4 linked regions of the Cricetulus griseus genome follow. The protein of the gene in region 2 purifies or fractionates together with the protein of the main gene of each other region. This does not show direct contact. Links are inferred from orthologs where the notes say so. Each region holds a gene or a part of one and is shown on either strand. Other genes may lie near its edges. The genes, in order: Lgals1, Met, Plxnb1 and Gab1.

Region 1 (4,322 bases), on a different chromosome or scaffold from region 2:
GGCCTTGCAAGACGGGTTCAAAGAAGTTCCATTGCTTAGGGGACAGGCAGTTGCTCAGGAGAGGGCCAGTCCTGCTCCTGCATGTGCAGACGCTTGACCTCCTGTGGGGGAGGGGCTGTCCTGTATGGCTTTGCTTTTTCTAGAATCCAAGACGACTGCAGATTTGGGTCAGTGACTTGTCTCCGTGCCTTTGGCTTAGAAGGAGGATGAGGTAGGTCAGGAAGGTTGAGTCAAGCAGGAGTCTGAGCCAAAGTATGGAGATGGATCCAAGAAAATGCAGAGAGAGGGCAGACTCATCCTGTCAGTAGTCTTCTGGACCCAAAGGAGGGGTCCAGGCTTTTGGGCAGGAGCAGCTTCAGAAGTGCCTTGTTTTACCACTTAACCCTCCACTCTGCTCAGTGAGCCTCCCTAAGTCGCATTTCACCCCATAATTATCTGTAGCTCCCTAGGACCCTCAGGCGAAACAACAATGAAACCCTTTGTCTGGTCCGAAAGGCCCTTCATGATCCCTGACTCCTATCTCTCTCCTACACACTCATCAGCTTGTTCCCCAGGCTTGGGCTTCTCATCACAAAGCCTTTGCCCAGTCAGAATGCCCGGTCATTCAACACCCTGCTTTACATCCCACAGTCTCCATCCCACCACAGTGGTATCTATGTCTTTGCCTTCCCCATAACCAACACAACCTTATTTAATCAGACTCATGGTCAGATCCTAGCCAAACCGTGGATTCTGAGAGTAGGGACTGGGAGGGGCTCAACTTTGAGTCCTCCAAGGCCAGCCCAGGGCTAGACACATAGTAGGTGCTCAGGAAAGTATCTGCTAAATGGATGGCCATGTCTGGTCTCCAAAAGTGAGAATGAGACCAAGGGTGCAGAGCTGACACACCTTAGGCTACCTCTCAGGCCCAGGGATGTCAGAGCCAGGGCACCCAGAAGTCTCTGCAGGCTCTGCAGTGGGGTGAAGTCCAAGGTATGAGCCAAGGACACCAGCGTCAGGCCTGGCGCCCAGCCCAGTCTTTCTTTAGCCCTAGTGAGCAGCACTGAGCTGCAGCCACAGTACGCTGCTTCCGGGGAAAGCCCGGGTGGGGCCTGGGCTTTGTGGTCCTTCTCAGCCCTCCACAGAGGCCCACATCCAGAGCCACAGCCGGAGCCACACCCCGGTCTGCCAGGCTGCAGCCTCTTTTAGCCCTGCTCTAATTTTCCTCAGTCTCTACACACATACCCCCACCAGCTGCACTGAGCCCCAGGGGCTCTCTGCCTGCTGGCCCCAGGCCCCTTCCCGCCAACTCTTGAGCCTAACTCATCCTCAAACTATTTTCCACTGGCTCCCCCAATCTCTGCCACCACACAAATCTTTTTTTAGTGGGAGGAGAGAGATGGGGAAGAATAAGGGGCGGCGCTTGGACCCTGAGGGAGGGACTAAGGAGGGGCACTCTTCTCTCTGACTGGTCACCTCTGCTCTAAAACTGGATTTATAATCCATTGACTCCGCCTCTAGTGCCCCCCCACCCCGTTCCTGACATCAATTGGCCTAGCCTACCGGAGGGGCGGGACTCACCGGGTCTGGGTCCTGTTAAAAGGGTCGGAGAGGGCTTGGGGTCCCGTCACTCGGGTGGAGTCTTCAGACAAGTGGTGCAGCCGCCTTCACTTCGCTTCAGTCATGGCCTGTGTGAGTGCGAGACCCTCTACTGCAAGGTCTAGGGGATTAAACAGCAGCAGATGGGCATAGAAAAGTGGCCAGTTTGGGACCTGGTTCCAGCTGTGCGGCCTTAGACAGGTGTTTTCTCTGATCCTCAGTATCCACGTCTGTAAAATGGGGGTGGGTGGCATAGTCCCCAAAAGTCTTCAGCCTCTCTGTGTTAAGAGTATCCTGGATTCCTCTGAGCTCCGACAGTATGCTTACATCTTAGAAGGTCCAATATTGGGGCACTTCGCAGTTTTCTGAGAAGTAAGAGTGGGAAGGGTGTGGCCACCTGGGGAGGGGGAAAGGGGAGGCAGGGGGACAATTTGGGCAAGGCCATTCACTGCTTCCCTCTCCTCTACTCTAGAGGCTCCTGACCCCTCCCCCCCTGCAGCTGTCCCCAGTCACAGAGCCAGGGCCCAGTAGATCACCCTCTGCTCCAGAAAAACTTAAAAACCTCCGGGGCCCAGGAGAAGCTGCCGTCCAGGCCAGGCTGGGGCTGTTCGTGGCTGCCGGCCAGCCGGGGGCCTAGAGAACTGCGTGCATTTGCACAAATAGACATACAGGCTGTGTATTTGTCAGGGTTCAAATGTCAAAGAAGCTCCTCACACAAATTAACTCCTGTCTGCCCACCAGGCAGGTGCCCAGCAATACCCAGCTATCTGCTGGGTTCTCCTCTAGTTTGCTAAATCCATGATGCTGCTCTCTAGCTGCACTCTTCTGCGGGGGAGGGAGGAGGGGGGCTGCCCCTCAGCTTCTCCACTCCAATGCCTGTAGACAGAGCCTTGAGGGGAACTGGAGAGGTCGGGGCTGCTTTTTCACTCCCGGAGGCGCTAAATGAGAACTTCGGTCACGCTCCATCTTCCCCTCCACTCTAAGTTAAAAAAAAAAAAAAAAAAAAAAAAAATCTCCAAGCTGACTGAGTGAATCTTCTAGGCTCTGTCTCTGTCCATAAGTTTCAAATTAGCATACCGTGCTGGGACAATCAAGACTAGAACTTACACCTTGTCCTACCCACCCACCCTACCTCTGGGCTTCCCCTAGGGCTGCTCCGGATACCCAGGGTGTCTCTGATCCCATGCACACACCCCAGGCCTCTGCAGGTAGCTCAGGCCATGTTTGAACTCGGCCCTAAATGCAGCTAGGTGGTCTTTTCTACACAGGGTCTGGTCGCAAGCAACCTGAATCTCAAACCTGGGGAGTGTCTCAAAGTTCGGGGCGAGGTGGCCCCTGACGCCAAGAGGTGAGAATGGAGCCAGCGATGGTGGTGGCAGGGGCGGTGTTAGCAGGCCTTGGGTCCCGAAGCTGGGGATGGGCGTGGCTGGGCCAGGGCTCCTCTCCCCAGCCCGCAGGGGGTTAATAGTCAGCTGCAGAAGCTCCGTTTTCTGGGTGAGTCACTTCCTAGCTGGGTCTGGTCGACCTCACCGTGGTCTCCCTTCCCCTCCCGCCCCCTCTCTCCCGGATGGAGGTTCTTAAACTAAACCAGCTGCTGCCTCAACAGCTACCTCGGCTTACCCCCTCCCCTTCTGCCTGGGATGTGTAATGTGGCAATGAGGGAGGGATCACCCACGTGCCTGCTGCCTGGGGGTGGGGTGGGGTGGGGTGTGCCGGCTCAGTCTTTTCTTTCAGTGCTTCCCTCTCATTCACAGTCCCATCGCCTATTTTCTAGGCAACCATGTGACCTTAGACCAGTCACCCAAGCTCAGGAAGCCTCGTTTTTTTTTTTTGTTTTTTGTTTTGTTTTGTTTTTTTCCTTGTGGGGAGACAGGGTCTCACTATGTAGCCCTGGCTAGCATGGAACTTACTATATGTCTACCAGACTAGCCTCCACGGAGACCCACATGTCTTTGCCTCCCCAGTGCTGAGATTGAAAGTCTGCACCTCCACACCCGGAAGAGTCTGGGTTTCCTAATAAAGCCAGAGGGAAAGTTGTGGTGTGGAGAATGCCAGGGGCCAGATTTATCAAGGCAGCTAGCTGGCTGATGGTAGTGAGTGCCTGGGCCTGCTCCTCTTTTTTCCTACCAGACCATGGTGGCAAGTACTGCTACCAGGTCCCATGTAACAGATCAAATCCCATACTACTATTTGCACTTTTACTCCACAATGATGGGACATTTGCACAGTGTTCTGCTCTGTACTAGGCACCAAGGACTCAGATACACAAGACAGACAGGAGGACATCGGAGAGTCTCCCCCTTGACCAAAGAGCTGACACCAATTAATGTCTGGGAGAGAGATCCCTTCAGCGCAGGCCCCCTCCCCCCATTGTACAGACAGGAAAGAAACTGGCTCAGAGAGAAATGGTAGGGTCGAGATCAACTCACATATTGAGGCCAGAATTAGAACCCAGGTTCCTGGCCTTCCTGTTGGCTGAGTTTCAACAAGGTACATTACAGGCCAGCTGCTGATGCTGCCTTTTCTCAGTGAGCTTTGGGTCTAGAGCCAGCCAACATGGTCTTAAGCCTACCTGTCACTCCCTAGCTTTGTGCTGAACCTGGGGAAAGACAGCAACAACCTGTGCCTGCACTTCAACCCCCGTTTCAACGCCCATGGGGACGCCAACACTATCGTGTGCAACAGCAAGGATAACGGAGCCTGGGGGACTGAGCACCGGGAGCCTGCCTTCCCCTTCCAGCCTG
Region 2 (3,494 bases):
TAATATCTGGGAGACCACCATCTATAAAAAATACAAAGTTGTGGCAAAACTATTGAAGGAAAAGGTAGGAACATGTTGGTACTTTGACCCTACAAGAAAGAACTCAAAAACTGTACCCCACCACCTGCAGATTAAATCTTAATCATCGTGTAGATTTCACATATTCTTTCTGAAAACTGTAACTACTTGTAATGTATATCTCATCTCCTTCTGGTTTAAACAGGCCATGAAATGTATAGCGCTTACTAGTTTGTCTTTAGGGAAACTTCTGCCGTAAATAGCAATGGTGTTAAATATGTCAAGCCAGGGTTAATTCCAGAGACCTGCTGCTGTTCCCTTCATGGCTGTGTGGTTCTGCTTCCCTCACTTGGCTTCTCCTCGATCTTGTGTTATCAGTGGTCCTTTGGTGTTCTTCTCTGGGAGCTCATGACAAGAGGAGCGCCTCCGTATCCTGATGTGAACACATTTGATATCACCATCTACTTATTACAAGGCAGAAGACTCTTGCAACCAGAATACTGCCCAGACGCCTTGTAAGTAAGAGTCTCAGTGGGGCCCTCCTTTACATCTGAAACATGTGACTTCTACAGAAGCACTTGCCCTTGTGTCTCTCACAGCATTTCTTTCTAAAAACAGGTATGAAGTGATGCTAAAATGCTGGCACCCCAAAGCTGAAATGCGCCCATCCTTTTCTGAACTGGTGTCCAGGATATCGTCAATCTTCTCCACTTTCATTGGGGAGCACTACGTCCATGTGAACACTACTTACGTGAATGTAAAATGTGTTGCTCCATATCCTTCCCTGTTGTCATCCCAAGACAACATTGATGGTGAAGTGAACACATGATGGATAGGAGGCCCATCAACCCCCTTCTAGCAAACAATGGTCCATAACTTCTCCGACAGTTCTCACTGCCTGGCCTTTGAAAGGTCACCCAATGTTTTTGCTGTTATTGTTTTGTTTTTGTGTTGCTTTTGCCAAAACTTCGCCACTATGAGACATTGATTTGCTATTTAAATTCCTGGATTCTGGGGAATTTCTCACCTGCCCATGCATCAGACACAGAAGCATGGTCCCCACAAGCTGAGGGCCAATGACAACCTGCAGCTATGAGAACACTCCTATCTCATTGGAGTTCAGAACCTCAGTTCTGGGTTGAAGTTTTTAAAAATCAGATTTTTGGTGAGGAAGTGATACAGTGAACCTTGAAGATTTCTCATAGAAAACTCAGAAGATATGGACTCTTGCAAGATGAATATGGTGGCCCCAGCAGGCTGCTGTTGGAATTCCAGTGTTTTCAACATATTCTGTTGTGTGGTGATCATGAACATTTTCCATTTTTGATGTTGTCTACCTATCAGGCAAACATTCCCTTTTAAACTTTTATATACACATTCCTTTGGTTGGATGACTATCCACAGACAATGTACTTATTTTTCAAGATAGCATGACATGAGGTGTGTTTATAAATTTTCAGGGATTTTGTGTATTGTACATAGATGATGATGGGAAGATTTTTTCAAAAACAAACACAAAAACTTTGTTACAGTAAAATATTTATCATGTAAATCTCAACAGTTTAGCCAGGAGCTAGGGCTCACACCTATAATCCCAGCATTTGGAAAGCTGAGGCAGACACACCACCACAAGGTCGAAACCAACCATGGCCACATAATGGTTTAGAGGCCAGAATGGGCAAGAGTGTGAGACCCAATCTCAGCAAACAAAAATTCAACTATTTGAGAAAAATTTTGTTCTGCTCTAGTGAATGTGGACACGTAATTTTTTATCTGTTTTTTAAATGGCAACTCTGAAAATAAGTAACTTGTGGTGATAAATCTTTTTAAAGACAACTCAGTATGTTTTTAAAGGACAATAAAACTGAAAGGTGCACTATTTCCAGTCATGGCTTGTGTGTAGACAAAGAAAGGGTCAATGGACTGGAAATATTTGCCCTTTCTCAGGTGGAGGCTTCTCACTAAAACAATTGGAGGCAACACTTTTGGGGAGCCTCATTTTGCATTAGGACGTGGTTTAGGCTAAATAAAAGCATATTTTCAAAACAGACAAAAAGCCACTTGAAAAATCTTTAATGAATAGTTTCTCTGGACAGGACTTTTGCCATGTTTTGCTCTGTGGAATTCTGTGCTTACTACTGTATAGTGCATGTGGCTTAGGCTACTCTAGCTGGTTTTGTCAATGTAAACATTGAAAGTATTATATTTTTATAGAAATGTTTATTTTTAATGCTATAAGAACATTTTTGTTAGGCCACAGAAATACTGCACTGTGAACGTTTAAGAAGAGGTATGTGAGAGTTGGATCGACAGCAGCGTGATTTTTTTCTAAATGGCTGTAAATTGTGATAAGGAAGCATACTGATTGCCAGTACACCCCACCCTCATTACATCATCAGGACTTGAAGCCAAGGGTTAATAGAGCACACTATGACATGGGTGTGCTCTTCTGAAACCCAATAGTTGAATTTGGCTGTTGCTGAAGGAAAATGATGGCAATCAAAAGGTCTTTGATGGTGGTGGAACATAATCAGAACACATAAGGAACTGTAGTACAGATTTATTTCAAATCAAATAGTACTGCTTACCAGTTCACAGAGCACTGCCAGCGGACAGCAGAAAACGGTGATCTGCTCTGTAGAAAGAAGTAGCTGTCTCTATGAGGTCAAGAAAGCGAATCCACCAAGAACAGAAAGAGCTGTGGAAGGCACCCAGACCTGTATATACATGCTCAAGAACGCTGCAATGTGAAAATCATGTTTTCTATTTATGAACCTTCCTAGGGTAATGTGTCTGGACAGATTGTGCAAGTAAATCATTCTTGTCAGAATTAGAAACTTGTCACTGCCTATACCTGCAGTTGAGCTGAATGGTACTTTGTATTTTAATAATTGTTCTGATAAATCATACAGTTAAAATAAAGTGACGTAACATCTTGTCTACTGTGAGTTGGTTATAGCTAGTCATGCTTGATTATCTACCTCATTTACATAATGACAGAGGAAGCCTAAGATTGATTTCACCTGGCTCCATGGCACTTCTCCATAGACCAGATGCTGATTCTTTAATGCATGGGCAATAGCTACATTGATTTGCATGCCTGACTCTCTGAAGTCTCTATCTTGCTTCGGGTGATTTGTCCTGAGTTCTTAATTCCCTGCATTTTCTGGCATCCTTTCCCCTGCTAGAGTACTTGGCTTTGTTAAAGTTAAAACTTGGGGTCTTCTTCAGCAAGATGAGTATCCATGGGACAGAAGCTGTAACAAAGGAGCTGCAATGCACAGTTGACAGAAAGATGGATTCCCAAGTGGCAGTTGGAAAGAGATGCCTTTTTGTCCCCTCAAAATACCCCCCTTTACTTACCAGAGAAACTCCATTCAGGTTATATCTATATTCTTGAAATGATAAAGAAACTCAAAGATGATGTATCAGTCATCTAAGAAATTTTGTAGCACTTTGGGGAAATTTGATTCTTT
Region 3 (3,562 bases), on a different chromosome or scaffold from region 2:
ATGTTGGGAGTAGCTACAAAAGCTGGCTCAGGAACTTTATTAGATGGGCTTTCACTGGGAGAGGGTTCTTCTCTAGCTCTTTGGAGAGGATGGGTGACGCTACCCCCAGGTAGAGGGGCCATGTCTCCATCTAGGATGAGATGAGCTGCATGGCAAGAAGAGAATCCTCCAACCAAGTCCTCTCTTGTCCTTGCAGAATGGCGGTCTGGAGTGGCCGGGCACCTCATTCTTTCTGATGAAGATGTCACTTCTGAGGTTCAGGGTCTGTGGAGACGTCTCAACACCCTGCAGCATTACAAGGTGGGGGGGATGGGAGCTGGAGGCTGGATGGACTAGGGTGGACTAAGACTGACTAGAGGATCACCAGCTGTGGTTAGCAGGTCCCAGATGGAGCAACGGTGGCCCTAGTCCCCTGCCTTACAAAGCACGTTCTTAGGGAAAACCAGGATTACGTCCCTGGAGAACGTGAGTACCTACCTCCTCCTTGTTGTGGTTTTCTGCATGTATGTTGCCCAGTCATGGGTAGCAGGGAAGGTCTTTCGGGCTGAGGGCAGCCTGGTGCCTCCTCAGAGGAGCCTCAGCCAGGTGTTCCCACTCCTGGGGAGTTCACTGGACTTGGATTCCTGAGAGGTGGCAACACCATATGGAGGGCACCCAAACTCTTACATCTTGGCACAGGGACCCCAATGCTAGAGGACGTAGATGAGGGGGGCATCCGGCCCTGGCACCTGGTAAAGCCAAGCGAGGAGCCAGAGCCTCCCAGGCCACGGAGGGGCAGCCTTCGGGGTGGGGAGCGTGAGCGAGCCAAGGCCATCCCTGAGATCTACCTGACGCGACTGCTGTCAATGAAGGTGGGGCTGAGCTCTTAGAAAAAAGGGCTACCCAGGGGACGTGGGGGCAGTGTGGGGCTTGTACAGGTGGCTGCTGCTACCGTCTCCTTCCTTTTCTTCCCACAGGGCACACTGCAGAAGTTTGTGGATGACCTGTTCCAGGTGATTCTCGGCACCAGCCGCCCCGTGCCGCTGGCTGTGAAGTACTTCTTTGACTTGCTGGATGAACAGGCTCAGCAGCATGGCATCTCCGATCAGGACACCATCCATATCTGGAAGACCAACAGGTGTGGGAGGAGCAGGCTCAGGACGTATGGGGGGGTGTGGCCCCTGCCTCCCTCCCAGCATAGTTACTGGCCCCTTCTCCCCAATCTGCAGTCTGCCACTGAGGTTCTGGATCAACATCATCAAAAACCCACAGTTCGTGTTTGATGTGCAGACATCCGACAACATGGATGCAGTGCTCCTCGTCATTGCACAGACCTTCATGGATGCCTGCACCCTGGCCGACCACAAACTGGGCAGGGTGAGCAGGCTGGGAGGGATATGACAAGGGAGGATGGGGTCACCCAGGTAGCCTGTGTGGGTGTGGAAAGTGGAGTGTGGTGACAGTCTATGACTGCATAGTCCTATGTAACCAGTGCCACTTGATGAGGGCTCACCATTAGGGCAAGTGGGTAGGTAGCCACAGTAGGCTTGGGAACAAGGAGAAGTGTCGCAGTTGCCTGCAGGCGGGTTGGAGCTTGGGAGTCCACATTGCACTAACCTGTGGTCCAGCAGTGGCCAGCTCAAGCCAGCAAAGATACAGGTGTGGGGTATTGAAGAGTGAGGCGAAGTCTCCCAGGCTATGATGAGCTCACACTTGTGGATGAGTCTGAGGAATTGCAAGGTGTCACCAGTGGTGTCATGGATGCCTGGCGGATTTGGTTTCTTGGGGTGTTGGAGGTGTCTTTTGTCAGTGGTGTGACAGGAAGCATCTAGGAAGATGTCCCAGGAGTCAGAGCCCAGAGTCTTCTGACATGGGGCTCCCAGTGGCCAGGGCCTTAATGGTATAATGGAACCCACTGCCAAGCCTGAGGCCCTGAGTTCAATCTCTTGGGCCCATATGGTGGAAGAAGAGAACCAACTCCTGCAAGTTGTCCCTTGACTTCCATACACACACAATGTAGGAAAAAACCCCAAAGAAGTAGGCTTCGGTGACCAACAATCCTGGTTTTCTGGGAGCGTCCTGGATTGTGGGTTATTTAGTTATAAAACTGTGATGTTGCTGGGAACCCCAGGTGCTGATCACCTTATTGAACTTTGACCCTTCTTTCCTTCTCTGTTGGTATCCAGGACTCTCCCATCAACAAGCTGCTGTATGCTCGAGATATTCCCCGTTACAAACAGATGGTAGAAAGGTACTGGGGAGGCGTGGGGGTGTGCATGCAGTTGAGGCCCTAGGTGGGTCCTGATGGGACAAGGAAGTGGGCTTTATTGTAGCATCTGTTGTCCCTGGCAGGTACTATGCAGACATCAGACAGACCGTCCCGGCCAGTGACCAAGAGATGAACTCAGTCCTAGCAGAGCTGTCCCGGGTAAGGCTCCCCTTCAAATGTCTCAATTGTAGAGAAGCCCCTGTCACCTCTATACCTATGATCTGGCTGGGAGAGAACACACTGTCACCATACAGGAGGAGTGTTCCAATGTCAATGGTATTCAAAAAGGCCAGCCCTCCTAGCATCTCTGAGTGAGCAGGGTCTCGTTTTGATAGCTGTCATCTAATCTGATCTAGCCAGGTGCTTGTGTTGTTGAAGCCCTTGTTAGGTAGGGTCTGTTGAATGGATGGGATTCAGCTCTGGACCTTTTCAGTCTACCTGCCCGTACTGTCACTGTTCTGTTGCTCATGGCACTGTCAGCACACAGGAGAACTTTAGGAACGATGGACAGTGTTCCTCAAGTAGTTACAAGGATACCCACATCGCCAACAGCAGCTGTGTCAAGCCCTTCATGGGGGTGTACTTCTACATTTGATCCCCCCTGAGAGCTCCATGAGTTACTTAGAGTGAATCAGCAATTCTGTCCAGAGAAGGAGGGCGAGGGTCTGATGTCCCCGTGAGGAAACATTTGAGTAAGATCAGAGCAAAGTTACGCTGCATTCCCAGCCAGTCTATCTACAGTTCTGCCTGGAGAGGCTGGCAGGGCTCCAGTGGAAACTCTCTTCCTCCATGGGGTCTTTGACTTAGCCTGTCCTGAGCTGCAGTCACACTTTGCCTTGGGTCCCTGCCCTATGGAGATCCTGCTTCCCACCACAGGACCCCCTTTTTTTTTTAAGATTTTATTTATTATGCATATAATATTCTGCTTCCATGTCTATCTGCACACCAGAAGAGGGCACCAGATCTCATAACGGATGGTTGTGAGCCACCATGTGGTTGCTGGGAATTGAGCTCAGGACCTCTGGAAGAGCAGTCAGTGCTCTTAACCTCTGAGCCATCTCTCCAGCCCCAGGACCCATTCTTTTTCAGGTCCCCTTCTCTGGGATCCTGCCCCTCCCCCACACTTCCTTCTCATTTCTCTCACCCTGTATTTGTCCTCTTCCCTAGAACTACTCTGGTGACCTTGGGGCGCGAGTGGCTCTGCACGAACTCTACAAGTATATCAACAAATACTATGACCAGGTGAGCACACCCTGGACCTGTTAGTCATTCTAGGAGTGCCTAGTAGAATCATCACATTCATGTGGCAGCAGG
Region 4 (4,114 bases), on a different chromosome or scaffold from region 2:
AATGACACATGTAAATATACATAATCATACACATATATATTCTCCCACACACTTCTGCTTATTGTTATCTATGTATTTATTATTAATATTTGTATTAGTAACAAACTTTATTTTGTTTTTGTGGTTTTGTTTTTGAGATACAGCCCTTGTTAGCCTAGAATTGCTATGTAGACCAGGCTAGCCTTAATCCTTCCATTTCTGTCTCCCAAGTACTGGGTGTTAGGAGCATATACCACCATGCCCAGTTTTTATTTTATTTTGGCCTTTGTTAAGACCATTCTTCCTACAAGGCTTTCCCCTTCTGTACTACCTTCCCTTGTGGCTGGTGCCTAGGACCGAGTTCAGCACCACTAGTGAGCCACAAACTAATGGGAAAGAGTGTGCTGAGTTTCTATTGCCATTATCAGCCATATATACTGTACTGTAGTTTCCCTGAGAATCCTAACGCCATCTTCCCTAAGCAGTGCGTCTCAAGCCTAGTATCTCCATCTCCCCACCCCTCCTCCTTCACACAATAGTCTCTTTACAACTAATTCTGAAGACACCACTACCACTCTCTAAAATTTTTGGAATCAAATTGCCATCTTTACCAAGAAATCCAGGAAAACGTGACAGGCATCTTTGGGGATCCTCCGACAATTTAACGAAGCACATCTTTCAATAAAACTGCTTGTCTGTAATATATTCTAGCAGAAAGTAAACCAGAAACTCGATGGTGAGCTCTGTGAAATAAATATTGCCCGTTTCATGCAAGCAAGCAGTGAGTAATCGGATTGACTAACTTGAGGTGGGTACTTGGTGTAGATTCCCTTCAACCAGAAACAGTTTCCATCAAAACCGGTTAAGGGGGTACGCTGTACGTTTTGCTTTAGGAAAACACGTTTACTCAAAAAATAATTGCTTCAGCTGCCAGGACAAAGTGTCATTTCTTCGCTGGCAGGGGACATCGTAAAATTAGTCGATCTGGAGTAAGATTTAAGATCCCAGACTCCTGAGTAGGACACAGACTTCCACTGCAGTAGTGTAGATTCCTTCAAGATACAGTTTTCTTGACAGAGAACACAGTTTAACACACAATCAGCATCTTGAGTCAATTACACAAATACCATTTAAGCCGTTCTGGTGCCCTGGAAAAGAATCACAACACCCAGAAATCCCTGCTGCCTTCAGCTGTCCCCTCTTGCGGGGCTTGACAGCGCGTCCGGGGAGCCCAAACATTAGCCACCATGCTCCCCCCAGCGCCCTCCGGTCGCATCAAACCGCCGGCGTTCTCGGGCCACACTCCAGTGTCCCTCAAAGCAAAACCGCGAAAATGTGAACCCTGCTAAGCAGACGGTAGGGCGCGTAAGAACTCCCCCCAACCCCCGCCCCAACACTTTCCCTTGTGTGAGTAGTTTTGAGAAGTTTGCCTATACGATCCACTTCTCGCGTCCACGATTCGCTTCCCTCAACCTCCTAGAGGCGCAGAGGGGGCGCGGACCCAAGGGAGAACTGATGATCACTACTAGCCCTCGGTGCCGGGAGATGTAAATAGCTCCATGTGAATCAGATGCAGATAATAAAAGAAGGCTCTTTCTTTCCGTTTTCACCCCACCCTTGCTCAGTGGAATTAACAACAACGAAAAGTATGCAGCCGGCTTGAGCCTGGGCCCCTCTAAGGGGCGGCGAGGCCTGCAGGGGAGGCGGTCTGCAACATGGAGGGAGAAAGTTTGGCCGCCAAGTGGACGCCAGGGTGCGAGTGGACCGCACCCGGTCCGAAGCCAGCTGGCCGAGAGAGGGATCGAGGAAGCGGAGGGCGGGATTCGTGGAAGAGCTCGGCGGCGAGCAGGCTGCTGCTGCCGTGGCCGGCGGTGCCCTGACCTGTACTTACATAACGCTTCAACTTCTTCTCCGGGGGGGACTTGCGGAGCCATCCCGAGCAGACCACTTCGCCGCCGCTCATGGTGCACGCCGTGAGGGCTCGAGGGCCAGACACCGGAGAGGTCGGTGGAGACAGTGGGCGCGCTCCCGGCACACACGAACCCGAGGAATTCGCCGATTCCCTCGACGGGGCGGCCGGGCTCCGCGCGCCCTGTGTTGGCGATCGAGTCTCTTCCGCAGACCCGCGGATCGAAGCAGAACCCGAGCGGGAGCCGCGGGGACCAGAGCTCACCCGCCTTCTTTCAGTGCACCCTCCCGGCCGCCAGGCGCGCCGTCCCGCCGCCTCGGCAGCGGTCGGGCTCAGCTGGGACTCAGCCGGGACACGGAGTCGGGAGCTCGGCGCCTGGCGCTCCGCCCCTTGGGGGGGACAGGACCTCCCGCGAGCGCTCCCTGCTGCGGACCCCACGCTGCACGCGCGCACACAATGCCCGCGCGCGGAGTCCGCTCCGCTCCGCCCGCTGGCGCTTTCAGCGAGCGGGGCGCGATCTTCTCCTTCCCTCTGCTCCGAGGAGGGCCCCCGGGAAGGCGTGTGGCTTCCCGGTGGCAGCGGACGCAGGGGCAAGTCCCGCTCCCGATCCGCTTAGGGAGTGCGAGCACCGGCGGCGAGGCGCGGGGCGTCGCCTGGCGTCGGGGAGGTCGCGGGTCCGCGGCGGGAGGGTGGGTCTGCGCTCCAGCCTCCGACGAGGGCGGGGATCAGCGCAGGGACGAGGCACAGGGCGGCTCTGCTCCGGGAAGGGACCCCTCGGTCCCGTCCCCTGCGCTCCTCCCCCACCCGGGGGCGCGCGGCGGGTTCGGGGAGGCGCGGCCCGGGGTGGGCCCTCCTTCTCCTGCCTTTCCGCCTCCCCTTCCCACGATCGGTCGCCTCCAGCTTCTGCCCAGACTTTCTCTGAAACTCCTCCGGAGCGCTTCCAGCCAAAACAAGGGCCGGGGAGGCGGGGCCGGTGCTGGGAGGGAGCGAGATGGCAGAGGCACCCTGGGATCTGTAGTCAGCGGCGCGCTGGGGTCCTCGCCGCCCTGCCGCCCCGGGCCCGCGCGCTGGGCAAGGCGGCGGTCTCCGGGAACGCAGCGCCACCTTGGCACGAGCGCGGGAGCGCCGGGCATGCTCGCCAGCTCCATCTGAGTTTGCCATCTTGACACTACCTGGTGTCAGCTAGGAGTTTGGAATGGGCTGTACCCTCGCGATCCGGAGTTTCGAGGGCTTTTCTCGACCTGACAGCCTGAAAAAATAACCCAGCCAAGGTACCGGTCGCGCGAGGCTAAAGGGCTTCCTCCCCAGGACCAGGAGCGCGCCCTGCTGTGCACCGGGAGACGGAGAGGGACTTCCAGGACGCCTAGGGCCTGACCCAGGAGCCGTTCTGCCCATTGCGATTCCTTAGCCTCAACAAAGCGTTCAGCAGCATGTAGTTCTGAGACACAATAAAGTCTCACACTACCTTCATTCGTGGGTTGTTTCTTTCAGTTGGCTTTGTATTTGCTTAAAACCTGCCCTAGGACGTTGGACAGGAAACAGAATCGTACTGGATGCCATAGTTCTATTTGCCTTCTGTGTGTTTTACTTATTATACCTGGGACGAGTTTGACACAGTCCTGTGGTAGAGCTCTTATTTATGCGTGTTATTTGGAACAAAGCCTTGGAACAAATTTTAAAAGGTAATATAGATAATCAGATATAAGTGCTGCAGAGCATGGTGTGGTGGCGCATGCCTTTAATCTCAGCACTCGGGAGGCAGAGGCAGGCGGATCTCTCTGAGTTCCAGGCCAGCCTAGTCTACAAAGTGAGTTCTAGGATAACCAGGACTACAAAGAGAGATCCAGTCTCAAAAAACAGAGGACTGTGTGAAAATATGAATTGATAAACCAGCATTTCTGAAAAGTATATAATACTTGGGACTCTCCTAATAAACAGTTCTAGCCCGGAGGTGGTGGTGCATGCCTTTAATCCCAGGAAGCAGGAGGCTGAGGCAGATGAATCTCAGTGAGTTGGAAGCCAGCCTGATCCACAGAGTGAGTTCCAGGACAGGCTCCAAAGCAATACAGAGAAGCCCTGTCTCGAAAAACCAAAACAAACAAACAAAAAAAACAGGAGTTCTGAGTTTGCAATGTTGTAGTTTGGAGAGAGGGAAAAGTGCCGAGAGCCTGGCATGGTGGCACACCTGCAGTCTCCGACCTGAAGGGGGGGGGGGTCGGAGAAAGA

Evidence for each region.
Region 1: the proteins of Met (region 2) and Lgals1 purify together in Homo sapiens (affinity purification with mass spectrometry; 3 studies listed by BioGRID and IntAct, with this or other methods). This does not show direct contact. The link is inferred for Cricetulus griseus from reciprocal best matches to the Homo sapiens genes MET and LGALS1.
Region 3: the proteins of Met (region 2) and Plxnb1 purify together in Homo sapiens (co-immunoprecipitation; 3 studies listed by IntAct). This does not show direct contact. The link is inferred for Cricetulus griseus from reciprocal best matches to the Homo sapiens genes MET and PLXNB1.
Region 4: the proteins of Met (region 2) and Gab1 purify together in Homo sapiens (affinity purification with western blotting; 3 studies listed by BioGRID and IntAct, with this or other methods). This does not show direct contact. The link is inferred for Cricetulus griseus from reciprocal best matches to the Homo sapiens genes MET and GAB1.

The regions. Positions count from the first base shown.
Region 1 is NC_048595.1:376,034,495-376,038,816, forward strand, and holds the start of Lgals1 (galectin-1), read left to right. Parts: upstream 1-1,515; 5' UTR 1,516-1,662; coding exon 1,663-1,671; intron 1,672-2,846; coding exon 2,847-2,926; intron 2,927-4,164; coding exon 4,165-4,322. UniProt on the Homo sapiens protein: Lectin that binds beta-galactoside and a wide array of complex carbohydrates. Plays a role in regulating apoptosis, cell proliferation and cell differentiation. Inhibits CD45 protein phosphatase activity and therefore the dephosphorylation of Lyn kinase.
Region 2 is NW_023276806.1:208,978,532-208,982,025, reverse strand, and holds the end of Met (hepatocyte growth factor receptor), read left to right. Parts: intron 1-396; coding exon 397-533; intron 534-636; coding exon 637-847; 3' UTR 848-2,966; downstream 2,967-3,494. UniProt on the Homo sapiens protein: Receptor tyrosine kinase that transduces signals from the extracellular matrix into the cytoplasm by binding to hepatocyte growth factor/HGF ligand. Regulates many physiological processes including proliferation, scattering, morphogenesis and survival.
Region 3 is NC_048597.1:217,226,776-217,230,337, forward strand, and holds part of Plxnb1 (plexin-B1), read left to right. Parts: intron 1-196; coding exon 197-300; intron 301-380; coding exon 381-465; intron 466-678; coding exon 679-851; intron 852-956; coding exon 957-1,117; intron 1,118-1,208; coding exon 1,209-1,356; intron 1,357-2,165; coding exon 2,166-2,230; intron 2,231-2,331; coding exon 2,332-2,407; intron 2,408-3,415; coding exon 3,416-3,490; intron 3,491-3,562. UniProt on the Homo sapiens protein: Receptor for SEMA4D. Plays a role in GABAergic synapse development. Mediates SEMA4A- and SEMA4D-dependent inhibitory synapse development. Plays a role in RHOA activation and subsequent changes of the actin cytoskeleton.
Region 4 is NC_048596.1:156,648,643-156,652,756, forward strand, and holds the start of Gab1 (GRB2-associated-binding protein 1), read right to left. Parts: upstream 2,813-4,114; 5' UTR 1,943-2,812; coding exon 1,871-1,942; intron 1-1,870. UniProt on the Homo sapiens protein: Adapter protein that plays a role in intracellular signaling cascades triggered by activated receptor-type kinases. Plays a role in FGFR1 signaling. Probably involved in signaling by the epidermal growth factor receptor (EGFR) and the insulin receptor (INSR).